Oryctolagus cuniculus: one gene and its partners. The protein of the gene in region 3 interacts with the protein of the main gene of each other region in a biochemical or structural test. Links are inferred from orthologs where the notes say so. Each region holds a gene or a part of one and is shown on either strand. Other genes may lie near its edges. The genes, in order: BIRC3, TOM1, UBC, ZFAND2B, AP2S1, PLAA and ANKRD13B.

Region 1 (3,253 bases), on a different chromosome or scaffold from region 3:
AAGGGCTACTAAGTTCCAGAATAAATACTCAAGTGGTGAGAGTAAGATGAGGGGCTTTTCCCCATGGGTAGGGATGGCGAGAGACTTCCGGAATGAATCAATAGAAAAATGAACAAATTTACTGAGGAGATGGTTTGATTTTTGTCTCAGGCATCCCATAAAATGCTACAGATGAAAGCCAGGTGTGTTGATCTTTATGCTGTACCATTATAAATGAAGAAACATCTTATAGGAAGGGACCTAAGCTGGGGCTCAGCCCTGAGGAGGTCTTAGGGAAGTATGGAAGTATGGAAGAGGTCTGCGGGTGAAATAAAGGTAGAGAGTAATTTCTATTGCTTTAATAAACTGTTCCTCATGGAATTCCTCAAAAAAAAAAAAAAAAAAAACCCACCATGTTCCTAAAAAGAATCATTCAACAAATATCAAGACTTTCTATGTATAGGATGCTGACTTATACATAAAAAATGCAAGGAATTCCTGTTAATATTCAACAAAAGCCCAAGATATTTAAAATTTTGAAAGATAAAACTCCAATATCTTAAATGTTGCTTCACTTATAATTTCAGTAATGCTGCAGTTTTCACTGAGTATTTTATTTATAATGTTGTCCCTATTTTTTGTTCATAAGAACAAAAGCCTATTATTGTCTTGTTATCTAAAATATGCATGGCCACATGTTCTAGATACATATTTATGTAGGCATATTTCTACAAAAAGTTTTCTGAATTGTAATAAAACATTTACATCAAAATCACTATCAAATCAGTGTAAAAGTAAACACTATGATACATTTAATCCATTAATTCTAAAGTATATCAAAGTTTCAATCTTCTTTATGAAAGAAATGTGCGAACTGTACCCTTGATTGTACCCCTACAAATAGGACATTTTCTTAGAGAAGGGGCACAATCTTTGCATACAACTAGGTGACCACAAGGAATAAACACAATGGACACTTCTTTGTCCATACACACTTTACATGTTCTTTCTTCTTGTAATCTCCGCAATTGTTCTTCCATTGGTAAATCTAAGAGAAGAAAAGAATTTTTAACAGTTATTTGCTTCTCTTCCAACAACAACAACAACAAAAAAAAAAACCAAGAAAATAAAAGCAATGTTTTCTACTGACTTTAAAGTGTTAATGCTATTACCTGAAACATCTTCCGTGGGAATGTACTTTATGTCCTGTTGCACTAAGGAGGGAAAAAGAAAAATCATTACAATGATGAAGCCAATATTATCTCTAGAATATATTTTTAAATGAACAGTTTAGTTTTGGAGCAAAAATATGAATAATATCAAGGTAACACAGTTATCAATCTGTTATACAATTAATGTTTATAAATTAAATTGAATTGTCAAATAATTTTAATAATCATAAATTATTAGTGAAAGACTACTTTCAGTTGATATAGAAAATTCCCAGAAATAATTTTTTAGCACTCACCAAATAAATGCTTGTATAACACAGGGTCAGTTTCTTGTAAACAATCTTTGAATACGGTGGCTGCAATATTTCCTTTTACTAAAATAATATCAATGAGTTCTCTGGCTTGTAAAGATGTTTGTGTTTTCTGTTTAATAACAGCATGTTCTTGCTTATTAATCACTCCAGAAGTTAGAAGACTGTCCAGGATTGGTATCACACAAGTCAAATGTTGAAAAAGTGCCATTCTATTCCTCCGAATTAACGACAGATCATCTTAATAAAAGAAGAAAACAACAAACATGCTTAAACTTTGCTCACAGACTTCCTCCCATGCTTGAATGTAACTGAATGAAATCCACCTTTAATTCACAGTCAGATAGGCACTGATGTTCCTTGCTAGGCTTGGGGGTAGCTGATCCCCTGTGTCTAATAATAATGCTGATTATAAGTTCTAACCTGAACACTGACTAAGCACTTTACATGTGTTAACACATTTCATCTTTACAACAGCCTTTTGAGGTATATGCCTCATTTTAACACATTGGGAAAACGCAGTCACAGTGAGGCAAATAAGTTACTGGGGCTGGCATTGTAGTGCAGCGGGTAAAGCTGCCACCTATAATACCAGTACCCCATATGGGTGCCAGGGCATGTCCCAGCTGCTCCACTTCTGATCCAGTTTCATGCTAATGGCCTGGGAAAAGCAAGGACAGATGGATGGCCCAAGTCCTTGGACTCCAGCCATACACTAGATGAAGAACCTGGCTCCTGGCTTAGTACTGGCTGTTGTAGCCACTTGGGGAGTGAACCAGCAGTTGGAAGATCTCTCTCCCTCTCTCTGTAACTCTGCTTTTCAAATAAATAAATAAATCTCTTTAAGTTACAGAGACAGAGGGAGAGAGAGAGATTTTCCATTTGCTGCTTCACTCCCCAAACAGCCACAGTGGCCAGGGCTGGGCCAGACCAAAGCCAGGAGCCAGGAGCCTCTTCCAGATCTTCCAGGTGCAGGGGCCCAAGGACTTGGGCCACCTTCTGCTGTTTTCCTAGGCACATTAGCAGGGAGCAGGATTGGAGTGGAGCAGCCGGGACTTGAACTGGCACCCATAAGGATGCTGATGTAGCAAGCGGTAGCTTTACACGCTCCGCCACAGTGCTGGCCCCAATAAATCTTCAACAACAATACAAAAAATATAAGTTGTCAAAGGACACACAAGTAGTAGAGGTCACACTGAGGCAGTCCAGTGTCACAACACCTGCTTTTGACCATTCTGCAATTATGCTAAACCCTAACCCAATAAAAGTTAGAGTCTAATAAAACTGAAATTTCAATTCAATCTAGTCAAAAGGGGAAAGGTAAAATCAAGATAATTTTTTCTTAAAATATCATTCTTCCATAAAATGTCTTCAATATTTCACATTAAGTTGAAAGTTTAATCATTTCCCCAAATTCGGCATATTGTCACTACCTATTTTATGATAAGGAGGAAATGGCACTAATATTTTGAGAAATAACCCCCTTTGTCAATGACTACCTTCTTGTCTTACAGGATCATCTCATTCCCTTTGAGATCTAGATTTTCTAATGGTTAAAAAAACCTGTATTTTGAGATAATAATGTTATGATCTCTTTATAATATGACTCATGGATCTATATTTATTAATTATCATATAGTTTATTGTGATCCATAAAGCCATTTTCATAACCTAGTTAATGGCACAAATTGGATCATCTGAAGAATTATTTTAGAAGAGTTGATTATTAGATTTTATTTTAGACACACTGCCTCTATCAAGTAACAGGACCAATAAGTATAACCATCTTTA
Region 2 (3,795 bases), on a different chromosome or scaffold from region 3:
TGGAGCCCAGGTCTGTGGGGCAGAAAGGCCGCGTGAAGGATCTGTCCGCTGTTCCTGTATCCTCCTGCCAAGCCCGGGCCTGGTGCTGCAGGAGCACACAGGCCAGGAGGCAGGCCAGAGAGGGCACGGAGGGGGCAGGACGTCTGCTGGCCAGGGGCCCAGGCCACCCTCCTCTTCCTCTCCCTCACGCATCTCTAAGGGGGAGACACAGTCACTCCCTCCTGGGCTCTTGTGAGTAGGGAACAGGGACAAGGCCGCCCACTGTCGCTAGAGGGAGGGACTTCTCAAAAGGCATGCTGTTAGTGTGGCAGCCCACTCAAGATGGGGTCCTAAGGACCCCCAGGGCTCAGCACGAGGCCGGCAGGCAGTACCTGAAGCCAACCTGGGCAACAGGGGCGAGTATCGCTTACATCTGTCAGGAGCACGCTAACAGATGTTCCGCTGCAGGTGGGGAGCAGCAGGGCGCCCACAGCCCCACCATCCCACCTCGGCAGGCGCCCTGCACACCGCACTCACTCATTCCCGCCAGCTGCGATGACAGGCTGCTGGTGGCTGCAGGCTCGGGGCCCATGTCGATCAGGTCTGCGGCTGGCTCAGCCTCGCTGGGGGCCTGGGGGAGGGAGGCGCCCCGTCATCCTCCCCCTCTCCCTCCCGCGGGCTTTCTTCCCCACGGCTTAGTCCCCCGTGGCTGTGGCTGGGGGCAGGAGGTTTCCCTCCCCCACTTCCAGCTCAGCTGGGCCCCAGGGAGGTTGGAAAGACCCTTGGCTGTGAGCTGGTGGCGCAGCCTTACTGGCCCACAAGGGGCAGTGGCGCGCCCGTGAGAACAGCCCCTCTGCTTCCTCAGGCAGCCCCAGCCTGCGGAGGATGCCGGGGAGGGAGGCGGGGAGCGCCCTCCTGCTCCTGCTCACCTGCCATCACCCAGGCACGGAAAAGGGCCTTTACCTTGGCAGTCTGGCCTGTTCGGAACCGCTCAAATCTACGAGACAGGAAAGACCCGAGTCAGCGGGACAGACGGAAACGGGTCCCCCAGGACGGCCCCGGCACAGCTCCCCAATTGAGGGTCTCAGCATCAGGGTTGGGGGTCACGGTCAGGGTGATGCAACATCCGGCTCTACTCTGGACAGATCCAGCCGGCGCCCGCTGTTCCCAGGACTTACGCACAGTGTCCCTCTGGTACTTGCAAAGTGTCCCAGTTTAGATTGTTCTACAGCCCTAATCACGGTGAGTGTGACGCCAATGGCAATACAGCAGAACAGAAAATAGGAGTGCTTGGCACACGGTACAGCGGTGTGTGCCCATCTGTGCGTGTGTGTGAGTGAGTGTGAGTGTGTGGCTCCCTGAGTGCTGCACAGAAGACCCTACTGTGTGGAGCCACTTAAGGGCCAGGGGGCTGGGGAGCTGGGCTGAGAATCTGGGTTTGCTCAAGGTGCGGCTCTGTGCATGGGTGTGTCACATCACTTGTGACGTTAGTGTCCCGTCAGCCGCCTCCCAGCTGTGATGAGGAGCAAGTGAAGACAGAGCCCATGGGAAGCACTGCACGGGTGCGGCTGATGGCTGTGGGTGTTGGGGGACCAGCTGCCCCAGACACAGCCACACCCTGGCAGGGCAGGGAGGGGGCCCTTTCCTTCTGCTGAGCCAAGGAGCAGGAGCGGCCGGGCAGGTGAGCCGAGCAGGGGCCCCACACTGGGACTTAGAACCGCGCAGTGGCGTCTGCTGAGGGATGAAGATGCCAGAGACGAGCGGCATCACGCAGCAGACAGCATTGTTTCCTGGACCCTCAGCGGCCTTGGGCGCGCTGTTTACAGGCCCAGCAGCCGAGGGCTCCGGGGAGGCAGCTCTCCCTGTTGGACGTGATGCTTCTGGGAGTGCCCCGGAGGGGCCACCTTCCCTCTCCCAACAGGTGAGCACAACACAGCCCAGCCAGCTGGCGAGGGTCTTGGGGACAGGAAGACACCCGGTGGACAAGTGTTTGGAGGTGACCCACTCACTGATAACGGCTCCCTGGGGACATGGGGCAGGTGTGTCTGCACCCGGGACCACTGAGCGGCCGGGGGCCTGTGCTGCCTGCTTGTGCCGAGGCATCACGGCTCTAACCGCCTCCGACTGGGTTCCGACCACTACCCACTGTGCTCCTCACTGATCCCTGTGGGGCTCTGGCGGCTGGCGGTCACGAAGCAGTCAGGTGACTTTCCTGGGGGCCCACGGCCAGGAGGTGCGGTGCCTGCAAGAACAGCACGGCCGGCCTGGCTGCGGGGCCCCGCTCTAGGCCACCACCTGCTGCTGTCCCAGGGCGGACTCTGCAAAGGAGACCCAGGCTGGGGGTGGGGCGGGGCCGGGGCGGGGCTACCGTTCGTGGCGCAGGAACACGTTGTTGAGGTTGTCGTTGACGATCAGCAGCTCCTCCGTCAGCTGCTCGTTGGAGATCCGGGGGATGAGCTCCAGGACCCGCTGCTGCATGGCCCGGCATGTGCGGTTCAGCTCCTGCGGAGGAGGGAAGTGAGCCGACCACGGCCATGCGCACTTGTGGCAGCCCAGGCTCCAGGCCCCAGGCCTGCCTTGGCGGAGGGAGAGGCTCCCAAGCTGGACTTCGAGGTCCCATTGGCACAGCTTCTGGGGTTTGGCAGGCATGAACTGGAATTTCCCGTCCAAGGGGTCTACACTAAAATCGAATACTCGTTAAACGGCGCTGCTGGCTGTGTACAGACCTCAGGGTTGTGCCCCTGCCCCTGTCTTCGCAAGCTGAAGATGCTGAGACTCCGAGGTGGGCTGGCTGAGCCGTCTGCAGCTTTTCTGCTGCCCTGCGGTGTTTTGGATCCAAAGCACAGAAAACCAACTACTGCCCACAAACCCCAGCTTCAAAGCTGTGCCTTACTACTGTTTCCTTTTTTGATGACATTTGTCCTGTGGGATAATTTTCGACTCAGAGATGGTACAGAGAGTTCCCGTACACCCTTCACCCAGGCTGGCATTTGTCAAAACCATGATGGGGGCATTTGGGCTTGTGGGTGAGGTGCCTGCGTCCTGAGTCGGGTAAGAGGGCCTGCAATGGATTCCTGCCTCCAGCTTCCTGCTATTGCAGACCCTGGGAGGCGGCGGTCATGGCTTAAGTGACTAGGGTCCTGCCACCCACGTGAGAGACACAGACGGAGTTCCTGGCCCCCCGGCACAGTTCTGCTGACCAAGCTGCAGACCGTATCTGCGTGCCACCAGTTCCTCTTCCATGTCCATTTCTGTCCCACGATCCCACACACATTAGTCACCATGTCGCTGATGACTTTAAAAAAAAAAAAAAAGACATTTATCGAGAGCCAGGGGATTCCGATTTTCTGGACTGAGTGTCTTTCCCCTGGTTACCTGTCAGCAGGACTGCTCACTGTGGTTCCTGCAGCTCCGTTACCCAGCATCCTCAGGGAGGCCTGCCTTCTGCACAGGGCGGGGCAGGGCAGGGCCTCCCCTTCCTTCCTCCCTGACCACTTGTGGTTGTTTGCACTTCCTTGCCGGCCCCTTTCAAGTGCAGGACAGCCCTTGGAGCCAGGGCTCCGGGTGGGAATCCCAGCTCTGCCACGTCCCAGCCACAGCACTCCCCAACCTGGTGGGGACTGGCAGTTGTCGCCTGTCAACTCTGCCTTCTCAGTCCCCGAAATCGTGCATCCCTGACGGCCGTGGCCCGGGGCTCGCTGCAATCGCGCCATTCTTCCCTGAAGTCCTCACTCAGCTTTCGGGGACTGCCTCACTGCACCCCACGACCCCCTCCTGTCCCCAGCCTCCCACAATGTCAGGACCCCAGGACCCCAG
Region 3 (4,024 bases):
TGGTGTCACTGGGCTCCACCTCGAGGGTGATGGTCTTGCCGGTCAGGGTCTTCACGAAGATCTGCATGCCACCTCTGAGGCGCAGCACCAGGTGCAGGGTGGACTCCTTCTGGATGTTGTAGTCGGACAGGGTGCGGCCATCTTCCAGCTGCTTGCCGGCAAAGATCAGCCTCTGCTGGTCGGGGGGGATGCCCTCCTTGTCCTGGATCTTCGCCTTGACGTTCTCGATGGTGTCACTGGGCTCCACCTCGAGGGTGATGGTCTTGCCGGTCAGGGTCTTCACGAAGATCTGCATGCCACCTCTGAGGCGCAGCACCAGGTGCAGGGTGGACTCCTTCTGGATGTTGTAGTCGGACAGGGTGCGGCCGTCTTCCAGCTGCTTGCCGGCAAAGATCAGCCTCTGCTGGTCGGGGGGGATGCCCTCCTTGTCCTGGATCTTCGCCTTGACGTTCTCGATGGTGTCACTGGGCTCCACCTCGAGGGTGATGGTCTTGCCGGTCAGGGTCTTCACGAAGATCTGCATGCCACCTCTGAGGCGCAGCACCAGGTGCAGGGTGGACTCCTTCTGGATGTTGTAGTCGGACAGGGTGCGGCCATCTTCCAGCTGCTTGCCGGCAAAGATCAGCCTCTGCTGGTCGGGGGGGATGCCCTCCTTGTCCTGGATCTTCGCCTTGACGTTCTCGATGGTGTCACTGGGCTCCACCTCGAGGGTGATGGTCTTGCCGGTCAGGGTCTTCACGAAGATCTGCATGCCACCTCTGAGGCGCAGCACCAGGTGCAGGGTGGACTCCTTCTGGATGTTGTAGTCGGACAGGGTGCGGCCGTCTTCCAGCTGCTTGCCGGCAAAGATCAGCCTCTGCTGGTCGGGGGGGATGCCCTCCTTGTCCTGGATCTTCGCCTTGACGTTCTCGATGGTGTCACTGGGCTCCACCTCGAGGGTGATGGTCTTGCCGGTCAGGGTCTTCACGAAGATCTGCATGCCACCTCTGAGGCGCAGCACCAGGTGCAGGGTGGACTCCTTCTGGATGTTGTAGTCGGACAGGGTGCGGCCGTCTTCCAGCTGCTTGCCGGCAAAGATCAGCCTCTGCTGGTCGGGGGGGATGCCCTCCTTGTCCTGGATCTTCGCCTTGACGTTCTCGATGGTGTCACTGGGCTCCACCTCGAGGGTGATGGTCTTGCCGGTCAGGGTCTTCACGAAGATCTGCATGCCACCTCTGAGGCGCAGCACCAGGTGCAGGGTGGACTCCTTCTGGATGTTGTAGTCGGACAGGGTGCGGCCGTCTTCCAGCTGCTTGCCGGCAAAGATCAGCCTCTGCTGGTCGGGGGGGATGCCCTCCTTGTCCTGGATCTTCGCCTTGACGTTCTCGATGGTGTCACTGGGCTCCACCTCGAGGGTGATGGTCTTGCCGGTCAGGGTCTTCACGAAGATCTGCATGCCACCTCTGAGGCGCAGCACCAGGTGCAGGGTGGACTCCTTCTGGATGTTGTAGTCGGACAGGGTGCGGCCGTCTTCCAGCTGCTTGCCGGCAAAGATCAGCCTCTGCTGGTCAGGGGGGATGCCCTCCTTGTCCTGGATCTTTGCCTTGACATTCTCGATGGTGTCACTGGGCTCCACCTCGAGGGTGATGGTCTTGCCAGTTAAGGTTTTCACGAAGATCTGCATTGTCTGTTATGAGAAAACACACAAAAAGAAACAAAAAAAAATTCAGCAAACAATTCACTAATATTCCTAAAGACTGAATATCGTCTATTTATCTACACTATTAAAATTAATAACTTGCTTAGGAACTCCAAAGGACACCAAACACAAACCTGAAAAATTACTTCAAAACCCCAGCCTCAGACCCTTCGTTATGAAGAAAGCAGGGAAACGTGACCAGTGAACTCAGGGCTTTTCCGTCCCTCCCCCCTTCCGGCTCGCGTTCCCGTCCACTCAGCAGGATCTCGCCTAGGCCCTAACCGTGTGTCTTGCAACTGACAGAAACCGACGCCACCCACACCGGGAGGCAGCCCCGCCCTGCTCTGTGTGCCAACACGCGGGTGACGTCACGGCGCGAGCCGCCCCCCACCCGCTGGAGCAGCCCCGCGCCGAGGCGCCTCCCTACTCCCCAGCCCCTAACCGGGGCCCAGCGCTGCCCGTCAGCCCCGCCACACCGCTCCCCCACGTCTCCAAACGCGGCCCGGCGACGCCGCCTTCCGCTCCTCAGACCCTCGCGGCGCTCGGCGCTCTCCGGCCCCTGTCCGCCCTGCACCCTGACCTCCCGGCTCGGCGGCGCCGCCATCTTGTCGGTTCTTCCGCCTGCGGGGCGACCCCAGCCGACTACCCGCCCGGGAGGGCGTCCCGCCCGCGGCGGGCAGCCGCACCGCCCTCCTCCCTCACGGCCGAGAGGCCGCGGGCCGCCCCCACCCCGGCCAGCACGACGAGGTCCACTCACCAGGCGGCGGCGGCGGCGGCGGCGGCGGCGGCAGCTGTACGCAGGATGAAGGCGACCGAACTCCGGCTCCGACGGAACTGGCTGCGCCGCGCCCGGCGCCCGCTTATATAGTCCGACGGCGAGCCGCCGCCCCGGCGAGATCCCTCCGCAGAAACGCCGAGAAGGAACTACTTTCCTCAGCCTCTTCCGCCCTCCGGGAAGGAACCCTGCGCCCGGGGCCGTCGGCCCCCTCACAAAACGTTCTCGGGTCGAGCCCGGGGCGGTACCGCCGGGCCCGGGAGGGGAGGGGCCGCCGCCCTGAGGGGCCCGGCGGAGGGATCAGGGCGTTTGCTGCGTGCTGCGGCCGACGTGCGGGCGCCCGCCCTGGGGGAGGGGAGCCGGCGCGCGGGCGGCGGGAAGACCCGGCGCGGAGCCGGGCGGCGCCCGGAGCGGGCGGGCGGCCGGGGGCTTCGGCTCCGCCCCGCGCCCCGTCCCCTCGGCCGCAGCGGCCCGTCGGTGGGCGGCCCGCGGGGGTTCCGGCCCGGCGCCCCCTCCCCGCGCGCGGCCCGCTCTGTCCCCGGCCCGCGACCTCGAGGGGCTTTCTGTGGGGTCGCGTCTGAGGTGACCGCGGTGGTCTCGTCGGGGCCGGGCCGTGACTGGGCACATCCGGGCCTCGCCTCCGCGGCCCACTGTGTCCACGGCCCGTGACCTCTAGGGGGCTTTCTGTGGGGTCGCGTCTGAGGTGACCGCCGTGGTCTCGTGGGGGCCGGGCCGTGACTGGGCACATCCGGGCCTCCCCGCGCGCGGCCCGCTCTGTCCCCCCGGCCCGTGACCTCGAGGGGGCTTTCTGTGGGGTCGCGTTTGAGGTGACCGCCGTGGTCTCGTGGGGGGCCGGGCCGGTGATTGGACACATCCTGCCCTCGCCTCCGCGGCCCCGGCCCCGGCCCCGGGCCGCCGGCGCGCAGACCCGCGGGGAGCCACGGCGGACCCCGACAGCGCTGGCTGGTTGCGGCTGGTCGCGGCCGCCCAGGCTCTCCCCGGAAGCCGCCGCCGGAGGCGCCTGGTGCGGCCCGGGCTTTAACCTGGGCCTTTTTACGGACGCGAACCGAAGCTGCGCTCTGTGTTTCCGGGATCCGATGCATGAAACGCGCACCTCGCGTTGTGATCACAAGGGGGAGGGGCACGGTCAGCCACGGGGTCGTGTCCTGGTGTTTGGGAGAATCGTGGCGTCGACCAGCAGGTGAGCTGGAGGCTCTTAAACGTTAGCGGTGGATTTGCCCCCTCGTGCCCCGAGTCCCCCCCTCCCCACGCTGTGCTGTGCGACTCTTCTAGAATGTTCCATTGCCACGATGGGGCGGAGGCGGGACCACAGCCCCTCCTTAGAGGGGAAGACCGTTTTACAAGTGTCATGTCACCGAGAAGCCCCGGCAGAACAACCGCTGTGTGGTTGCTGTGGTAACCTGCGGCTGTGTGGATCTGGGAAGATCTACCTGAGCATTGTTAGAGGACTTTTCCACCCCTTAAACCCCCAAACAAGGAATGCCCGGGCCCGGGGGGTTAAAATGCAGAGCAGGAACCCAAGCTAGCGGGAGACCCTGGTGATGGCCAGC
Region 4 (4,255 bases), on a different chromosome or scaffold from region 3:
TGTACCCTAGAGATGTGAGGGCCACAGTCCTCCTCAGCTGAGCCTCCCTCCCCAAGCCCAGGGCCCTAGCACAGGCTGCAGTTGGATGGCTTCAAGCTGCGGCTCTGCGCCTGGAGCAAGGAGAGGGGAAGAAGGGAAGACAGGGTGCGAAGTCAAGGAGATGAGGGGACAGCCCTCAGTTCAGAGCTCAGCATGGGCTGGAGGCACACTGAAAGCAAAAGGAGAACCACCGCCCCTTAGAAGACCCCCTCCCCCTCCCCCAAGCACACACATGCGCCACCCACACCCACACCCACACCCCTCTGCCTCCCTCCAGGGCAGGACCCCATCTGCACCCCGGCTCACACCTGCTGCCGCTGGTACTCTGCCTCACTGGCTGACAGTGCCTGTGCTAAAGCCAGGTCTTCCTCCTCCTGAGAACTGGGACGAGGAACAGTGACATCTAAAATTCATGTCAAGCGCCACAGTGCTGAGCCCTTCTGGGTACCCTCTCCATCCCCATAGCAGCCTCACACGGTGGGTATTCGTGTCCTAACTATGACCTGGCATCGGGTCAGAGCGGCCCCACCTCCCTCCAAACAGCCCTTGCCCACGGCCCACCCTCTTTCAGCAGAGAGGAGGTACCTGGGGACCTGGGGTTTGGTCTCTGCCAGGGACAATGCCAAGGCTCGTTGCAGAGCCTCATCCTCACTCTGCGAAGGGAGAGACAAGACCAGTTTCCTTAGGGCTGAAGCACTGCATGGGACTCCTGTCCATCCAACCTCTGCCCAACTCACCAAGCCATTCTGCAAAGCAACCACTGGAGGGGCTGTCCGGGATGGAGACTGGGTTGTGGCTCTATGGCAGACATTCAAGAGGCTGAGATCAGAGATGAGAAGGGGAAAGGGAGGGGAGGAGAAATGGGCGGGCCTACCTGCTGGGAGTAGAGGAAGGCCAGGTCTGGCTCGGGCTGGGGACGGTGCTGGCAGAAGCGGCCAGGCCCTGTGCCCTGGAGATGGCGGCCAGTCTGTAGGGAAGAGACGCTCTTGGCAAACCTCCAAGAAGGAGCTTCCCCCAGGGGCAGGGGAGGGAGGGACTTGCTCTGCAGCCTGGACAAACATGCACCGGAAGCTAAAAGACACCCCCCCCAGCCACTGGGGACAGGGTTGAAGGTTCCTAATTTGCAATGACAGAGGCTGAGTCTGTTCTAAAAGGATGAGACAGTGCCACAGGCAAATAGAGGACTTGGTGGCCGTTACCCTGCCCGGCTGGTCGGGCGCCCCTCCGCAGAGCAGTCATGGTCCAGTGGGTGCCGGTGTTTGATGCAGAAGTTTCGGCCACAGCGCTCGCAGGTCAGCTTCATCATCTCCCGCTGGCGGCAGCCGGGGCGCTCACACTTATTGGTGAAGATCTGAGGGGAAGGGGAAACTCTGTCTCTGCTCAGACCCCACCCGCATTACAGAAGTCCGCCGCGCAGGCGTCCCAGCAGGGTCGCCCCCCCCCCCACCCGCTCACCTTCCGTTTCTGCTGTGCCGGATCCGAGCGACAGTCTCTGTCAATGTGCTCCCCCACGGCGCGGTCGGGGGCCTCCCCTCTGGCCACAGGCACCGGCACGTTACAGAGTGGGCATACCGGTACCTGGATATCCTACAGTCAAGGGGGTGGGAATCAGCGCAACAACTCCCTCGTCCCGAAAGCACCTGGACATGCCCCCAGACAAATGCACAAGAAGACACAATATTCCCCAGCACTGACTGAGCCTTAGGAAGGAGAACACGGAGAGGACGCGCGAGGCAAGCGGACTCGGGGGGCTGTGCGTGCACGCTCCATCCGCCCCCTTCCACCCTCGGGATCGCCCCCTCACCTTTTGGTAAGCAGATGCACAGTGATGCTGGGCGTAGGCCACATGGTCTGCGCAGAAGATGCCCGAGCAGGCATCGCACTTGAGCGGCAGGAAATCTGCAGGGAGGGGGTCAGACTGCAGGCCCGGCGGGACCTCGGTGTCCTGCCCTCGCCAGGGAAGGAAAACACCGCCGGTGCGCCCCACGCTGCACCCTGCGTGACTCCACGATCGATCTCCTTAGCCACGCCCCCTCGGCCACCGCCCCCGGCTTCGCGCCCCGCCCTTTCCTGGTACTTCCAGCCCCGGAGCCCACCCGTCTCGCTCCACCTGCAGTTCCAAGCCCTCTCCCGCCCTGCCCTGCCCTCACCCAAGCGCTGACAGCTTGGCTCGGAACAGTGAGCCCCGAGGTCCGGAAACTCCATCGCCGGGCCGGACAGGAGCCTGCTGGGAGAAGCGGCGAGTCCTGAGCGTCTCTAGGGCTCCCGTTCCGGGTCCGACCACGACTCCACACTCCGAGGGGCGCCCCGCCCCGCCCCTTCCTCTCCCCCGCCCAGCCCGGGTTACCGGAGTCTCAGCGCCTGCCGGCTCTCGGCTCCCACTCCTCCCTCGGCGCCAGCCCGGGCGCTCTGACGTCACCACGCAAAGCGGGCGCGCCCTGCGCCGTATCCAGGCCCCCTCAGGGGGCGGTCCCGGCGGAGCCGCGCCCCGCCCCTCCTGGCTCCGCTGGGCGGGGCGCTGCAGCGCTGAGGCGGCGGGAGTGGCGGCTCCGCAGTCCTAGGCGCGGGCTCAGCTCCGCGGAAGGTCTCCCTGAGGCCTGAGGGATGGGCGAAGGGGCTGACGAAGTCCAGCGCAGGTGAAATCTTAGGGTCGGAGGAAATGAGATGGTTTGGAGTCTTTTACAATTCGGTCTTTGGCCCGCTTCTCTCTCTGCCCCCTCCCCTCTCTGTGCATCTTCTGGTCATTTTTCTTCGTTGACAGCCAAAGCTGCGTTTACCGTCTACGGGCTGACAACTCCCCATGTTTCTCTGCAGTGCAGGTGCCTCCAGATTTCAGCTTTGAGGCGCTTCCTGTGAGACTTCCCGAATCTCCTGTCTGGACGAGGTGCACCTGCTAGGCGACCTCCCTGTGGCTATTCCAGCACGCATATTAACCTCATTATAGTAGTCTGCTGACAGGCACGTGCGCACATACACATGCATGAATACCCTTGGAATGCCGGGACAGCATCCACGCATCCACCTTGCTCTGTTGGATCCCGGCAGTGCCTTGAGCAGTGTGGTTCTCAGACTCCAGTGCGAATTCAGATTACCTACGGGCTCAACTTAAAATGCAGATTCCGGGGCTCTTGGGCTCCTCATACAGTAAAAGCACCTGAGGGAATCCAGACAAGTTGCGCATATGCCATACTTTGAATTAAAAAAATCTAGAATATTCTCAGTGCTTAGTGTTTCTTGGATTAGGAGTGAGAGTCCTCCTGCTTTACCCTAAGTAGCTCTGGGTTGAGGCCTTCTAGGCTCAGCACATTTTACCTCTCGTATGTCTGAGGTCCCTTCTGCCCAGGGTTGGTCACGCTCCGTCTCCCCGTGAGTCTGCCGATGGGGACGAGTAACCAGGTGAAATGAGCTCGGAGTTGAACAGTGTCCTCCAGAATGGAGAGGGAAGCCAGGCCACAGCTGGAGATGAGGAACCCTTCTCCCCCTCTTTCTGTCTCTCCGTCCATCTCCAACTCTTGGCTCTTGTTCCCTCTGTGTCTGCTTCTTACACAGTCACAACTCTAAAGCCTGTCTCCTGGTTCCTCAAGCAGGTTCGTCCCAGCTCTGACTGTACCCAGTTGCCTTGATGGGGTCATGGGCCAAGCCCTGCACTGTGCCAGATGCACCTTTGTGCAAGTAGTCTGCGCTACAGAAGCTTTAAGGAAAACCCTGAGATGCAAACACTGGGCCTGAGCAAACACTGGGCCTATTAAAAAGAACAAGAGGTCTGGTCTTAATAAGAGAAGAAGCCTGAAGCAGTAGCTGAAGTCAGAGATGGGCCTGGCAGATGCGGCACAGGGCCCCAGGTGCAACTGCTGCATTTGCCCAATCATATTCTTTCCTGGGAATTAGGAATCAAGGCCAAGAGAATTTGTGTTCTTAATGTGTTCTTTTTTTTTTTTTTAAGAAGCTCTTTTCTTTCTTTAAAGATTTATTTCATTTATTTGAAAGACAGAGTTAGAGAGAGAGGTAGAGACAGAGAGAGAGTTCTTCTATCCGCTGGTTCTCACCCCAGGTAACCGCAACGACTGGAGCTGCGCTGATCTGAAGCCAGGAGCCAGGAGCCAGGAGCTTCTTCTGGGTCTCCCATGCTGGTGCAGGAGCCCAAGGACTTGGGCCATCTTCTACTGCTTTCCCAGGCCATAGCAGAGAGCTGGATTGGAAGAGGAGCAGCCAGGAC
Region 5 (3,003 bases), on a different chromosome or scaffold from region 3:
AGGGGCAGGGAGGTGAGGGCGACGGGGTGTGAGGGGGGTGCCGCGGGGCCTGGGCGCCGCAGGGAGGTTGACCAGGGCAACGTGGGCCCATGGGCAGAAGCCAGGACCACTCAGGAGGGGGCTCCCCGGGGCGGGCAGACGGGTGGCAGGTACTGGTGACTGGCCCGGCACAGGCAAGGAGTATTTTGGAGGCAGAGCTGGGACCAGCTGTGGAGCTGTGGAGGAGAGAGGGGTGGGGGCAGCGGCGGGAAGGGGCTGTGGCTGGAGGCCGGAGGTGAGGAGGCTGAGATGGCCTGCGCTGCCTTCCTGGGCCCCGGTCCAGGAGGGACATAGGCCATCTCCGTACAGGGATAGCCGCCATGAGCAGGTACCTGACCCAGCCCAGGGGTCAGGGAGGGCTTCCTGGAGGAGGGGATGGAATCAGAACAAGAGAGAGTTGATCTCATCCCCCAACATACTCAGGAGAATCAGGGAGAAGAGACATTAAAAGAAAAGTTCCTCTTATGAGATGGAGACCCAGACAGGCTTCCTGGAAGAGGGGACTTGTGATGGAGAAGGAGGGATGAGATGGAGACCCGCCATGCACCCTTCCTGTGTGCACATCATAGGTGTTCCCTCATCCCCGCGTTAGTTCCCTGTGGCTGCTGTCACTGTTACCACGGTGACGGGGGCGGGGAGACAGACAGAATCTTCCATCTGCTGGTTCGCTCTTAAAATGCTTGCAGCAGCCAGGGCCGCACCGAGTCGGAGCCCGGAGCCCGGAACTCCATCCGGAGCTCCCCCATGAGTGGCCTGGCCCAGGCTCGGTTGCCGCGGCCATTAGGGGAGTGAATCAGCCGATGAAAACTGTCTCCCTCTTCCCCTCCTTCTGTCGCTCCGGCTTTCAAATAAATAAATCCTTTTTAGAGAGAGACTGGCACTCGGGGCCGCCACCAGATGGCGCCAGACGCACACCCTGGACCTGGAGCTGGAGATTTGTTTGATTTTTTTTTTTTTTTTTTTTTTTTTGCCGAAGGCTTTGTGTTTTTCAACGCCATAACGTCGCTATCTACGTCTGTCTCTCTATTTCCTTGCAAACACACACACGCCCGGGGCCAGGCGTGTTCTCTTGCCGGTTGTCCTGCTCCTGTTGTAATATTTACGCGGGTTACGGTTGAGCGAGGCCAGCGTCCTGGGCGGTGCCTGGCGCGCAGCGGGTGCTCAGGAGGTGTCTGTGGGCTGGGTGCTCAGGTGCCCTCCAGGCTCCGGAATCCGCCCCTCTCCAGAGGTGACAGGAAGCCACCGAGGGAGAGGAGCGGCTGGGCGGGAGTGTGGGGCGTGCCCTGAGCATGCACGCTGGCCGTCCCGCTGCCTGGACCCTCAGCCTCCCCGTGTCTCTGCGGGCGGCCTCTCCTTTAGGAAGCCCTCTGTGACTCGAAGTGTCCCGCACCCACCCCCAACCCCTCCCCGGGGATGCGTCCCTCCGGGGCCAGGCCCGCGGCCCAGGGCTGAGCCCGGGGAGCATGCGCAGGGGAGGGGCCGACAGCCTCTGACCGCGTCTCTGCCCGCAGTTCCGCAACTTCAAGATCATCTACCGGCGCTACGCCGGCCTCTACTTCTGCATCTGCGTGGACGTCAACGACAACAACCTGGCCTACCTGGAGGCCATCCACAACTTCGTGGAGGTGCGCGGGCCCCGCCTCCCGTCCCTGTCCGCGCCGCCCTGCCCACCGCGGTGCCCGTCCCTGTCCGCGGTGCCCGCCTCCCGTACCTGTCCGCGCCGCCCTGCCCGCCACCCTGCCCGCCTCCCGTCCCTGTCCACCGCGGTGCCCGCCTCCCGTCCCTGTCCGCGCCGCCCTGCCCGCCGCGGTGCCCGTCCCTGCCCACTGCGGTGCCCGCCTCCCGCGTCCTGCCTCGCGCGTCTCCCCGGCCCCTGTCCCTGAGCACGTCTTTCCCTCGCCGCCCCTGCAGGTCTTAAACGAGTATTTCCATAACGTCTGTGAACTGGACCTGGTGTTCAACTTCTACAAGGTAGGCCGGGTGCGCGCGCTCAGCTCTGGGGCGTCCGGCCGAGCCCCCGCTGCCCGGGAGGGGCCGGCCGCGGCGCCCCTCTCAGCGCTGGCCGTCTCCCCGCCAGGTCTACACGGTGGTGGACGAGATGTTCCTGGCGGGCGAGATCCGCGAGACGAGCCAGACCAAGGTGCTGAAGCAGCTGCTGATGCTGCAGTCGCTGGAGTGAGGCGCCGCCCCCGCCCGGAGGAAGGGGCCCCGCGGGGTCTGGGCGCCCCAGGGAGGAGACCACACCCCTGCCTCGGGGCCACCGCGTGCGTCCCGAGGAACCGTGCTGTTGTCGCGAGGCCGTGCTGTTGTCGTGAGGCCGTGCGTGTGCGTGTGTGTGTGCGCGAGTGCCTGGAGCCCTCAATAAACCTGTGGTCCCGCCCAGCCTCGCCTGCCTTCCCGGGGCTGCCCCAGCCTCTGCCGCGCCAGGGAGACGACGAGGGGTCTGGCGGTGCCCACAGAGCTGCGCCGTCCTCGCAGGCTCTGTTCCCCGCATGGGGAACCCTGGGGGTGCGGCGGCCGGAGCTGGGGCTGCGGGGTGCGGGGTCCAGCTGCGTCTCAACCACTGCCCCTGCTGCCCCGCCCCCCAGCCGAGCCTATGTCGGTGCCGGCGGTGATGAAGCGCCTGCAGAAGCCTTCATAACACACGTTCCTCGCGCGCTCCGCCAGGACCTCCATTGATGGATTTAAGATTGTACTTATTTATTTGAGAGGTAGAATTACAGACAGAGAGGGAGACACAGAGAGGTCTTCCATCCTCTGGTTCACACCCTAAATGGCCCCAACGGCCAGAGCTGCGCTGATCCGAATCCAGGAGCTTCCTCTGGGTCTCCCATGCAGGTGCAGGGGCCCAAGCACTTGGTCCATCCTCCACTGCTTTCCCAGGCCACAGCAGGGAGCTGGATGGGAAGTGGAGCAGCCGGGACTCGAACCAGCGCCCATATAGGATGCAGGCAGAGGCTTAGC
Region 6 (3,795 bases), on a different chromosome or scaffold from region 3:
CAGATCCAGCTCCCTGCTGATGGCCTGGGGAAAGCAGGAGAGGATGGCCCAACTGCTTGGGCTCCTACACCCACAAGGGAGATCTTGGGGAGTGAACCAGCAGATTAAGAGCTCTCTGTCTCTACCTCTCTCTGTCTGTAACTACATCTTTCAAGTAAATAAATTATTTTTTAAAAAAGTACATAAGACCTAATATAAACATTAATTTACCTGTAAATGGATCTGAAAAACTGGTATTCCCAAGTCCCAACATTTGACCTTTTGTGTTATCAATAATAAATTTAGCCACCTGATCCAAAAACATAGGATTCAAATCATTCTTCTGCAAGAAGTTGTATGCGGTTAACCAGGGATCATCACTGGTATTATATGGCAATTTATATGATGGTCCACCTTCATTGACATCAATTGAGAAAACATAATCAAATTCCTGTAACAGAAATATAGTCAGGAGATAAAAGATTACTAATTAATCTTTTCACATATTTCTTTTCATACATATTAATACATATTAACTCATACATACATATATAACAAATATTATGTGTTTTTCATTTTAATAATTACAGTAACTAAGCTTGCTTTAATGTACAATGCCAAAAACTCTCTGGCAAATAAGGACTAACAGAGACCACTCACATGTGCTGCAAGGTAGTATTTCAGTGGGGGAGGGGGGGTGCAGTGGAATGGAAGATAATTATGACCACATATTAATTCCAGAACCAAAGGAGGGCTGCCAATTGGTTGATCTCAAGGCCAAAAGTATCAGCTGTTACTATGCCCTACTCACCTAAACACGCTGGCATTTAAGTACTGCTCTGCAGTGTCCATCATGTTGTATCAAATTAAATACAGCCAGGCACAAGGCATTAGATGAAGGGTGGCATAGAATTCGTAATCCTAAATGGCTGGGAACTGCTTATGTATGGGAACTACTAAAAGATAATGCCCACTTTATTTATCAAATGCAGCTTTCTATACATGGAAAGATATCCTTTTAGTTAATCCTTTCAATACAGGGGGAAAAGATAATTTTCCTACAGTAATTTATTTCTAAATTTTAACAACCCCCCGCAAAACACTGTATCAGCATTGAGAAAACCTTTAACTTGGCTAATGATTTAAGATAATGATAATTAGAAAGAAATCAACATACTTTCCCTTCATATAAAACTTTTCCAGATGTTTGCTGATTAGCACCAGATGAGCCAACGACATCACCAATTTTTATCCACCTTCCTTCACTAACACTCCACTGATAGGCTTCAACTTTCTCCCCATCTCTGATGAGACGAGTCTGTCCTTCTCTAGTACCTTAAAATAAAAATTTTAAAAATCAAGATAGAATAAAATTCAAAAATATCTATTAACTTAAAAAATATTTTGTTATTTATTTGAGAAGCAGAGAGAGAAAGGAAGACAGTTCTCAATTGTTGGTTCACTCCCCAAATGCCTATAACAAGCTCTGGCTGGGGCTGAAGCCAGACGCTAGAAATTCAATCCAGGTCTCCCATTTGGGTGGCAAGGATCCAGTTAGCTGAGCCATCACTGCTGTGTCCCAGGATCAACACTGGCAGGAAGCTGGAGTCAGGAGCCAGAGACTGTATCGAATCCAGGCACTCCAATAAAGGACAAGGGCCTCTTAACCAACAGGCTAGGAGCCCACCCTTTCAGTTAGATTGATGCATTGGCATCCAAATTCTGCTCTTGGCCCTCTAGGGTATATCTTCAACCAGCAACCATAGAAATTTTTTTCAAAAGTTTAAGTGGGTCTGACACTGTTCGGCATAAAACCCTTCGATGGCTTCTCATCTCTTGGCAAAAGTCTAAATTCTTGCAGTGGTGTACTAGACCAAATAAACTGTCCCTACCATCCCCTCTGGTCTCATCCTCTACTCCTCCTCCCACCCACGTCACCCAACGTCAACCATGAAGCCTTTACACTGCCTATTTATTTTGCCTGTGACATTTTTCACATGATGCTGACAAGTTTCACATGATGCTGACAAGTTTTGCTCCTTTGTCTCCTTGACTTTACTCGAATGTCACCTCAGCAAGGCTTTTGGAAGAAAGCTTAGCTACCTTCCCTCACTAACACTCCGCTGATGGCTGCGACTTTCTCCCCATCTCTGATGAGGAAGCCGTTCTACGGGGACAGCTGTGTTCCTCTTCCACAGGGGAGACCAGTGACTGTCTAACTAGAGACTACTTTACCCAGATCCTTGAACTGGAAGTCTACTGATGTCACATTACTCAGCCATGGCCAGTGGAACGAGGCGAGCATAGTATGTCAGTTCTGGCCTAGTCCATCATCCCCTAATCTCTTATACCTTGTCTCAATCTGGGGCAACTTTTTGGTTTGGTTAAAGTAAATCCAACACACAGCTATGGACTTCAAAAGAGAATTACATAGCTTTTTTCAGAAAATGTGGATGGGGGGGGTTACAAGATTTAGAATCTGCAACTACATCAGTGGATTTTTTTAATGCTCTACTACTTATCTTTTGCCCATGTATGAGTCTGTAACAATATGCCGGTCATTTGGAAAACCATTTTGGGCGACCATTATTGTGGCACAGTGAGTTCAGTCGCTGCGGCAGCGCCAACATCCGATATGGTCACTGATTCCAGTCCTGGCTGCTCCACTTCTAATCCAGCTCCCTGCTAATGTGCCTGGGAAAGCAGCAGAGATGACTCAATTGCTTGGGCTCCTGCACCCATGTGGGAAACCTAAAAGAACTCCTGGCACCTGGCTCCGGTCTGGCCCAGCCCTGGCCGTTGTGGCCATTTGGGGAGTAAACCAGCAGATGGCAGACCTCTTTCTCTGTTGCTCCCTCTCTAACTCGCCTTCAAATAAATAAGTAAAAATTTTTTAAAAATATAAGAAAATACCAATTCACTGACTCATGCAGATTTCCATATTTACACATTTTATTATTCGATATGAAAAACTGCATTTGTTAATATTATCACTATAATCATCAAACATTGGGAAGCTATCAAGCTTCTGGTGGCACATACAAATTTTCTAAATTTCCAATTTACACTTGAAAGCTTGAATTTTATCTTTGGCAACAAATACTGTCAGTTATATTCCTTAAAGTGACAAGCTCACTTTCATAATTTTGAAAAAATGTCTACGAGATACCGAAGCCTGAATAATCCTAGTCAGTCTTTCAAATAAAAATGGTATTTCGCCGGCGCCACGGCTCAATAGGCTAATCCTCCGCCTTGCGGCGCCGGCACACCGGGTTCTAGTCCCAGTTGGGGTGCCGGATTCTGTCCCGGTTGCCCTTCTTCCAGGCCAGCTCTCTGCTGTGGCCCGGAAGTGCAGTGGAGGATGGCCCAAGTACTTGGGCCCTGCACCCCATGGGAGACCAGGAGAAGCACCTGGCTCCTGCCTTCGGATCAGCGCGATGCGCCAGCCGCAGCGCACCGGCCGGGGCGGCCATTGGGGGGTGAACCAATGGCAAAAGGAAGACCTTTCTCTCTGTCTCTCTCACTGTCCACTCTGTCAAAAATTAAAAAAAAAAAAAAAAGGGGTATTTCATTTAAAAAGTTATACTTCAGCCTGCAACTCAAATGACCAAACACACGGTTTTCTTTGAGAAGGCACAGTGTATTTCACATTTTGCTGCACTGAATATTAGAAAGAAAGATGTATATTAAAGTGTCAAGAAGGAATAAAGCAAGTTTTAATGCTTCATCAAAGACTTTCTTCAGGGCAAATGGCAGTGTTTTTAAAAACACAACTGCATGTCAGTGAAGAACACAGTAAGTACTAGAACAATTCAG
Region 7 (4,455 bases), on a different chromosome or scaffold from region 3:
TGTGTCTGGGCCGGGTGAGGGGTGCGTCCCAGGTACCCACACCCCCACGGGCAGGCGTCTGTGTGGTGGTCACACCCTTGCTGAATTCGCACAGCGGCAGCAATATGGATGCCCAGGTGCCAGAGGGGCCATGCAGTGTAACCCCTGCCTGTGTCTAAAGATGCATCCCTCCCCGCACGCGTGCAGCTTCCATCTGGAGGGGAGAGAACGCGGCAGTGACCACTGAGCCTGTGTTTGCTGATACCTCCATGTCACGCGCCCCGTGCACTCCCACCGTGTTTCTGGGCTACCGGAGGCGTGTGTACCCGGAGCGCATGCTTAAAACATATTCAGGGGCTGGGAAAATCTTTCTTCTGGGGCTTCAAACGGAGAAGCAGGCGAGGACCGTGGGAGGGGACAGGAGCCGAAGTGCGGGCCACACGTGGGCGCACCCCCGCACTGAGCATGCTCCCCCACGCACGTGTGCCCGGCGTGCACCCAGCCCCCATCCCTGCAGCAGCAGCAGGGCCCTGGGATTGTGGGGGAGAGCAGGGGTGTCCAGGGCCAGGCCTGGGGGCCAGATCCGCGGTGACAGTTAAAGGGAGGGTTTCTCAGGCATCAGGGACTCCTGCTCAGTAACAAGTTAGGAGAAGGGGGAGTCCTTGCGCAGGGGTGCCCGAGTCGGTCGCTGTACCCAGAAGTACCCTGTGGGTGGGCAGGCCCCTTCCCTAGGGCAAACAAGTAATGCTCATGAGTCACACCACCCGAAATACACGCAGAGCTGCCTCCATCGCCTTTCGCCGCAGCCCAGATTGACAAGTTTTGTTTGAAATAGCGATCCACGGGATATATTTATAATCGCACCTTTAAAAAAAAAATCCCTGGCAGGCCTCCCCTCCCCCCAACAGTCAGCCGCTCAGCTGGTGGGGCTTCTGCACGCTTAGATTCCTCGCAAAGTGTATTGGGGGCGGGGGTACCACCGCCGCCCCCGCGCTGCGCCCGCACCCAGGAGCCCGTGAGCTTGGAGGCTCCAGACGGGGGAAGGGAGCAGTGGCCTGGCAGCCGGTACCGGGCGCGCAGCCCACGAGCGGCGACCGCCCGTTCACCCCCGATCGACCCCCAGCTATGGAATTTCATTTATTAAACGTCGAGGCGGCTGCTGGCAGCCCTGCCGCTCGGCTGGCTTTGTTTCTCCGCTGTGTGGGCGCGTCTCGAGCACGTGGCCGCCGCAACGCTCGGGCCGAGGGGAAGGCGACCTGGGTGGAGTGTTCAGGGCCGCCTGGCAGGGAGAGCCGGCTGCCCGGGCACGGACCCTCCGAGCCCGGGAGCTGCCCGCCCCCGGGAAGGAAGGGCGATTCGCTCCGCTCCCCCATCCCCAGGATGCCCTGGGGACAACCTGGGAGTGGCCCTGGCGCGGACGCGGCGTCCACAAACTTTGTCCCTGAAGCCCCAGCCCTGTGACGGCGAGGCTTCCGGGCTCAGGGAGATAAAAGCGCTTCTGGGTTTCCCTGTGGAGATGTCACTACCCCCACGAAGCAGGTTAGCTGAAGGAGAATCACACACAAGGTTCTAAGGACAATTTAATGAGGAAATGTGCAGGCATTTCTCGCGGTCGCTCCTAGACAGACGCCCCTCCTTTCCGGAGCCCCCTCCCCAACGCCGGCCGCAGCCACGACCCTCTGCTGACCCCTGGTGGTGGAGGCGGGCAGCGCCCGCGCGCTGCAGCGACGCCCGCTGGCTCCTCCCCGGCTGGAGCGAGGGGCGAGGCGGCGCGCTCCGCCCTCGTCCCTTCCCGCCCGGGCCTGGCACCACCGCAGGGTGTGCAGCAGGCAGGAGAGACCACACAAAGGAACCTGAGCGAGGCGCAGGGAGTTTGCAAGCTTTTGCTGGCACCTCCCACACAAAACACTTCTTGGATCGTCGTTCCGAGAAGGGCTGCGGTGGAATCCCTTATCCCTCGCCTTGCTCGAAGGTGGGCTCGGGAAAGCGCCGAGCCTCAGTCCGCCTGGTGGGGGTGGGGGTGGTGGGGAGGCGCCTATTCCAGGGCAATTACTGTCCTCAGCTCACCCCCACGACGTGGTACCCACAGGCTCACTTTAGAGGTGAGTGCATCGAGAAACAGAGAATTCAGGCCGTTTGCTTAAGGGCAGACGGTGGGCAAGGAGGTATTGGGATTTCGGTATCTGTGACATCATGGTCCCTCCTTCCAGTCCTTCCTGCCCTCGCAACTGGTGGCTCGGGAGGCAGATTCCACTCTTACCACGCCCTCTGCAGGGGCCGTTCTGGAAATACCTCTGCGCCCGGTCTCTGGGACCAGGGGCGGAGGTGGGCAGCTGCCACCTGCTGCTTCCTCTGCCCAGCCTCACTCTGGCTCCTGTGGAGGCCAGGGTGTGGAGGGAAGGCTGTGTTCTCCCGGCCAAATGGGACATTCTCTTTTCCGTGCCGTCCGTAAAGACGGAGTTGGATTTTCTAAGAAGAGGGGGAAGACGCCTAGGAAACACTCCAGGTGCCAGGTCCCTGGCTGCTCCATGTCCCGCACGCCTTCTCGGGAGTCCCCATCAGGCACCCGCTACTGGGAATCCGGATCTCTTTCTACAGCCCCTGGGACCAAGCTCAGTTATGAAGGCCACACCGCACCCCCCCCCCCCGCCCCCAGGCACGTTCCAGGGAGGCCTGTGGCAGAAAGCCAGCGAGCGGGGGTGCGCCCCAGCCCACCTGGAGTCCGGGCTCCGCCTCCGTTCTGGCCGGGCCTACCTCTTGGCTCACCCTTATGGGATCAGGGCCACCCAGTGCGGGACCCTCTCCCGACACCTGCCACCCTCAGTTCCGCCAGGCGGACTACAAGTCCCATGATGCCACGGGGCCTAGCTGTAACCCTCTCTGCCGGGGGCACTCGGATCCCCACTCTCTCCCCCGCATCCCCGCGTCCCTGGCCGGCCGCTCAGGCTGAGGGCCGGGCTATGCGGCTGCGGGGAGCCGGGTGCTGCGGGCGCGCGTCCCTGCGGCGGCGGCGTCCCCGGGGCCCGCACCCCGTGCGCCCCCGCTGCGGGTGCCTGCTCTCTCCGCGGAGCCGAGTCTTTGTGTGTGGGGGTGTGGGAGGCGAGGCGCCACTCCGCGCCGCGCCGCCGAGTGCCCGCTCCCTCCCCGGGCGGGTGGGGGCCTCGCAGCGCCGCCCGCCGTCGCCGCCGCCTCGCGAGGACGCCCGCCGCCCGCGCCGCCCGCACCGCCTGCACCGCGCCGGGCGCGCCGCCCCCGCCCGCCGCCGCCGCTCGCACATGCCCGAGCCGCAGCCCTGCGAGCAGGCAGCGCCCGCCGCCCGCCCCGCGGCCCCGGGCCCCGGCTGCGGCGCCGTCCCCCCTCCCGGGCCGGGCGCGGCGGCCCCGGCATGAGGAGCGGGCGATGATCCCCGCCAACGCCTCCGCCAGGAAGGGGCCCGAGGGCAAGTACCCGTTGCACTACCTCGTGTGGCACAACCGCCACCGCGAGCTAGAGAAGGAGGTCCGCGCCGGCCAGGTAAGAGCGCCGTCGGGGCGCCGGGGACCCCGCGGCCCGGCACGCCCGTCCGGCGTGGGGCAGGGGCGCGGCGCGGGCTGTCCCGCCTCTCGGCCGAGTTAGCGGCGCCTCTTTGTTTGCAGCCGTGGCTTTTGTGCTGGTTGACTGGGAGCGGCCCCTACCCGCTCCCACCGGCCCGGACGCGGGCGGCCCGCACGTGTTCCCCACCCTCCGGGAGCCGGGCTAGGGTCGCCGTGCCCCCTCCTGGGCCAGGGCAGTGAGGGCTGCAGGGAGGGGCGGCCCGCTTGGTGTGTGTGTTCCCTGTGGTGGGAGGGTCCGCCCCACTCCGTCGAGCCGCGACACCTCCCGCGTGAGCGTGCGGAGGTGGGAAAGGCCCGCAGGTCGAGGATTGGGGGCCAGGCTGTGACACTCCCGGGCATCCCGGCCCCACCCAGTGCCCTTTCCCTGCGTGGTGAGCGCTTCCTCCGGCCCTTTAGCGCAGAGCCCCTGGATCCCTCAGCCCCCAGCCCGGGGAGAGAGGCACTCTCTCCACGAGTCCCCGAAGGGGCCTTGTCCAGGTGCTGAAAGGCGCTCTCCTGGCGGCTGGTGCTGAGGAGGCGGGGGTGGGGGGTGGGGGCCCCGGCCGCAGGCAGGACTGGCGGTTCTGCAGGGTGAGATCGCGGTGGGGCCGGGTGGGTCAGCCAGCTTCAGGGAGCAGGGAAAGGTGGAGTCTCTTGGCTATTCTTCAGCACGAAGGCAAGCCCAGGTCACAGACTGTGCCCAGTTCTGTCCTTGGCACCCAGGCCACAGGTAGGCACCCATGGCACAGGTGACCCACCCTGCAGGGAGGGCAGCAGGAGCCACAGCTGGGCCCAGTCTGCTGCAGGGTGAGACCTCCCGACTTGGGCTGGGAGTGGGTAGCTCCGAGTTGCTACCCACTGAGGGCCAACCCAGCAGCCGGCTTCCCAAGGGAAGCAGGGAGGT

Evidence for each region.
Region 1: the proteins of UBC (region 3) and BIRC3 form a complex in vitro, tested with the Homo sapiens proteins (3 studies listed by BioGRID, with this or other methods). The link is inferred for Oryctolagus cuniculus from reciprocal best matches to the Homo sapiens genes UBC and BIRC3.
Region 2: the proteins of UBC (region 3) and TOM1 form a complex in vitro, tested with the Homo sapiens proteins (9 studies listed by BioGRID, with this or other methods). The link is inferred for Oryctolagus cuniculus from reciprocal best matches to the Homo sapiens genes UBC and TOM1.
Region 4: the proteins of UBC (region 3) and ZFAND2B form a complex in vitro, tested with the Homo sapiens proteins (3 studies listed by BioGRID). The link is inferred for Oryctolagus cuniculus from reciprocal best matches to the Homo sapiens genes UBC and ZFAND2B.
Region 5: the proteins of UBC (region 3) and AP2S1 form a complex in vitro, tested with the Homo sapiens proteins (2 studies listed by BioGRID). The link is inferred for Oryctolagus cuniculus from reciprocal best matches to the Homo sapiens genes UBC and AP2S1.
Region 6: the proteins of UBC (region 3) and PLAA form a complex in vitro, tested with the Homo sapiens proteins (2 studies listed by BioGRID, with this or other methods). The link is inferred for Oryctolagus cuniculus from reciprocal best matches to the Homo sapiens genes UBC and PLAA.
Region 7: the proteins of UBC (region 3) and ANKRD13B form a complex in vitro, tested with the Homo sapiens proteins (3 studies listed by BioGRID). The link is inferred for Oryctolagus cuniculus from reciprocal best matches to the Homo sapiens genes UBC and ANKRD13B.

The regions. Positions count from the first base shown.
Region 1 is NC_091432.1:94,052,986-94,056,238, reverse strand, and holds the end of BIRC3 (baculoviral IAP repeat-containing protein 3), read right to left. Parts: intron 1,703-3,253; coding exon 1,448-1,702; intron 1,194-1,447; coding exon 1,152-1,193; intron 1,028-1,151; coding exon 834-1,027; 3' UTR 573-833; downstream 1-572. UniProt on the Homo sapiens protein: Multi-functional protein which regulates not only caspases and apoptosis, but also modulates inflammatory signaling and immunity, mitogenic kinase signaling and cell proliferation, as well as cell invasion and metastasis.
Region 2 is NC_091442.1:112,916,736-112,920,530, reverse strand, and holds part of TOM1 (target of Myb1 membrane trafficking protein), read right to left. Parts: intron 2,482-3,795; coding exon 2,348-2,481; intron 977-2,347; coding exon 943-976; intron 611-942; coding exon 517-610; intron 13-516; coding exon 1-12.
Region 3 is NC_091452.1:5,126,993-5,131,016, reverse strand, and holds the start of UBC (polyubiquitin-C), read right to left. Parts: upstream 2,801-4,024; 5' UTR 2,436-2,800; intron 1,982-2,435; exon of another isoform or gene 1,813-1,981; intron 1,667-1,812; 5' UTR 1,664-1,666; coding exon 1-1,663.
Region 4 is NC_091434.1:20,256,975-20,261,229, forward strand, and holds the start of ZFAND2B (AN1-type zinc finger protein 2B), read right to left. Parts: upstream 2,931-4,255; 5' UTR 2,387-2,930; intron 2,267-2,386; 5' UTR 2,245-2,266; coding exon 2,190-2,244; intron 1,939-2,189; coding exon 1,844-1,938; intron 1,627-1,843; coding exon 1,495-1,626; intron 1,391-1,494; coding exon 1,239-1,390; intron 1,007-1,238; coding exon 914-1,006; intron 838-913; coding exon 777-837; intron 693-776; coding exon 625-692; intron 443-624; coding exon of another isoform or gene 421-442; coding exon 348-420; intron 209-347; coding exon of another isoform or gene 188-208; exon of another isoform or gene 111-187; coding exon of another isoform or gene 66-110; exon of another isoform or gene 7-65; coding exon 1-6. UniProt on the Homo sapiens protein: Plays a role in protein homeostasis by regulating both the translocation and the ubiquitin-mediated proteasomal degradation of nascent proteins at the endoplasmic reticulum.
Region 5 is NC_091449.1:10,588,124-10,591,126, forward strand, and holds the end of AP2S1 (AP-2 complex subunit sigma), read left to right. Parts: intron 1-1,550; coding exon 1,551-1,664; intron 1,665-1,950; coding exon 1,951-2,010; intron 2,011-2,116; coding exon 2,117-2,218; 3' UTR 2,219-2,421; downstream 2,422-3,003. UniProt on the Homo sapiens protein: Component of the adaptor protein complex 2 (AP-2). Adaptor protein complexes function in protein transport via transport vesicles in different membrane traffic pathways.
Region 6 is NC_091432.1:190,185,261-190,189,055, forward strand, and holds part of PLAA (phospholipase A-2-activating protein), read right to left. Parts: intron 1,315-3,795; coding exon 1,157-1,314; intron 431-1,156; coding exon 211-430; intron 1-210. UniProt on the Homo sapiens protein: Plays a role in protein ubiquitination, sorting and degradation through its association with VCP. Involved in ubiquitin-mediated membrane proteins trafficking to late endosomes in an ESCRT-dependent manner, and hence plays a role in synaptic vesicle recycling.
Region 7 is NC_091448.1:45,053,007-45,057,461, forward strand, and holds the start of ANKRD13B (ankyrin repeat domain-containing protein 13B), read left to right. Parts: upstream 1-1,555; 5' UTR 1,556-1,570; coding exon 1,571-1,951; intron 1,952-2,884; exon of another isoform or gene 2,885-3,378; coding exon of another isoform or gene 3,379-3,492; intron 3,493-4,455. UniProt on the Homo sapiens protein: Ubiquitin-binding protein that specifically recognizes and binds 'Lys-63'-linked ubiquitin. Does not bind 'Lys-48'-linked ubiquitin.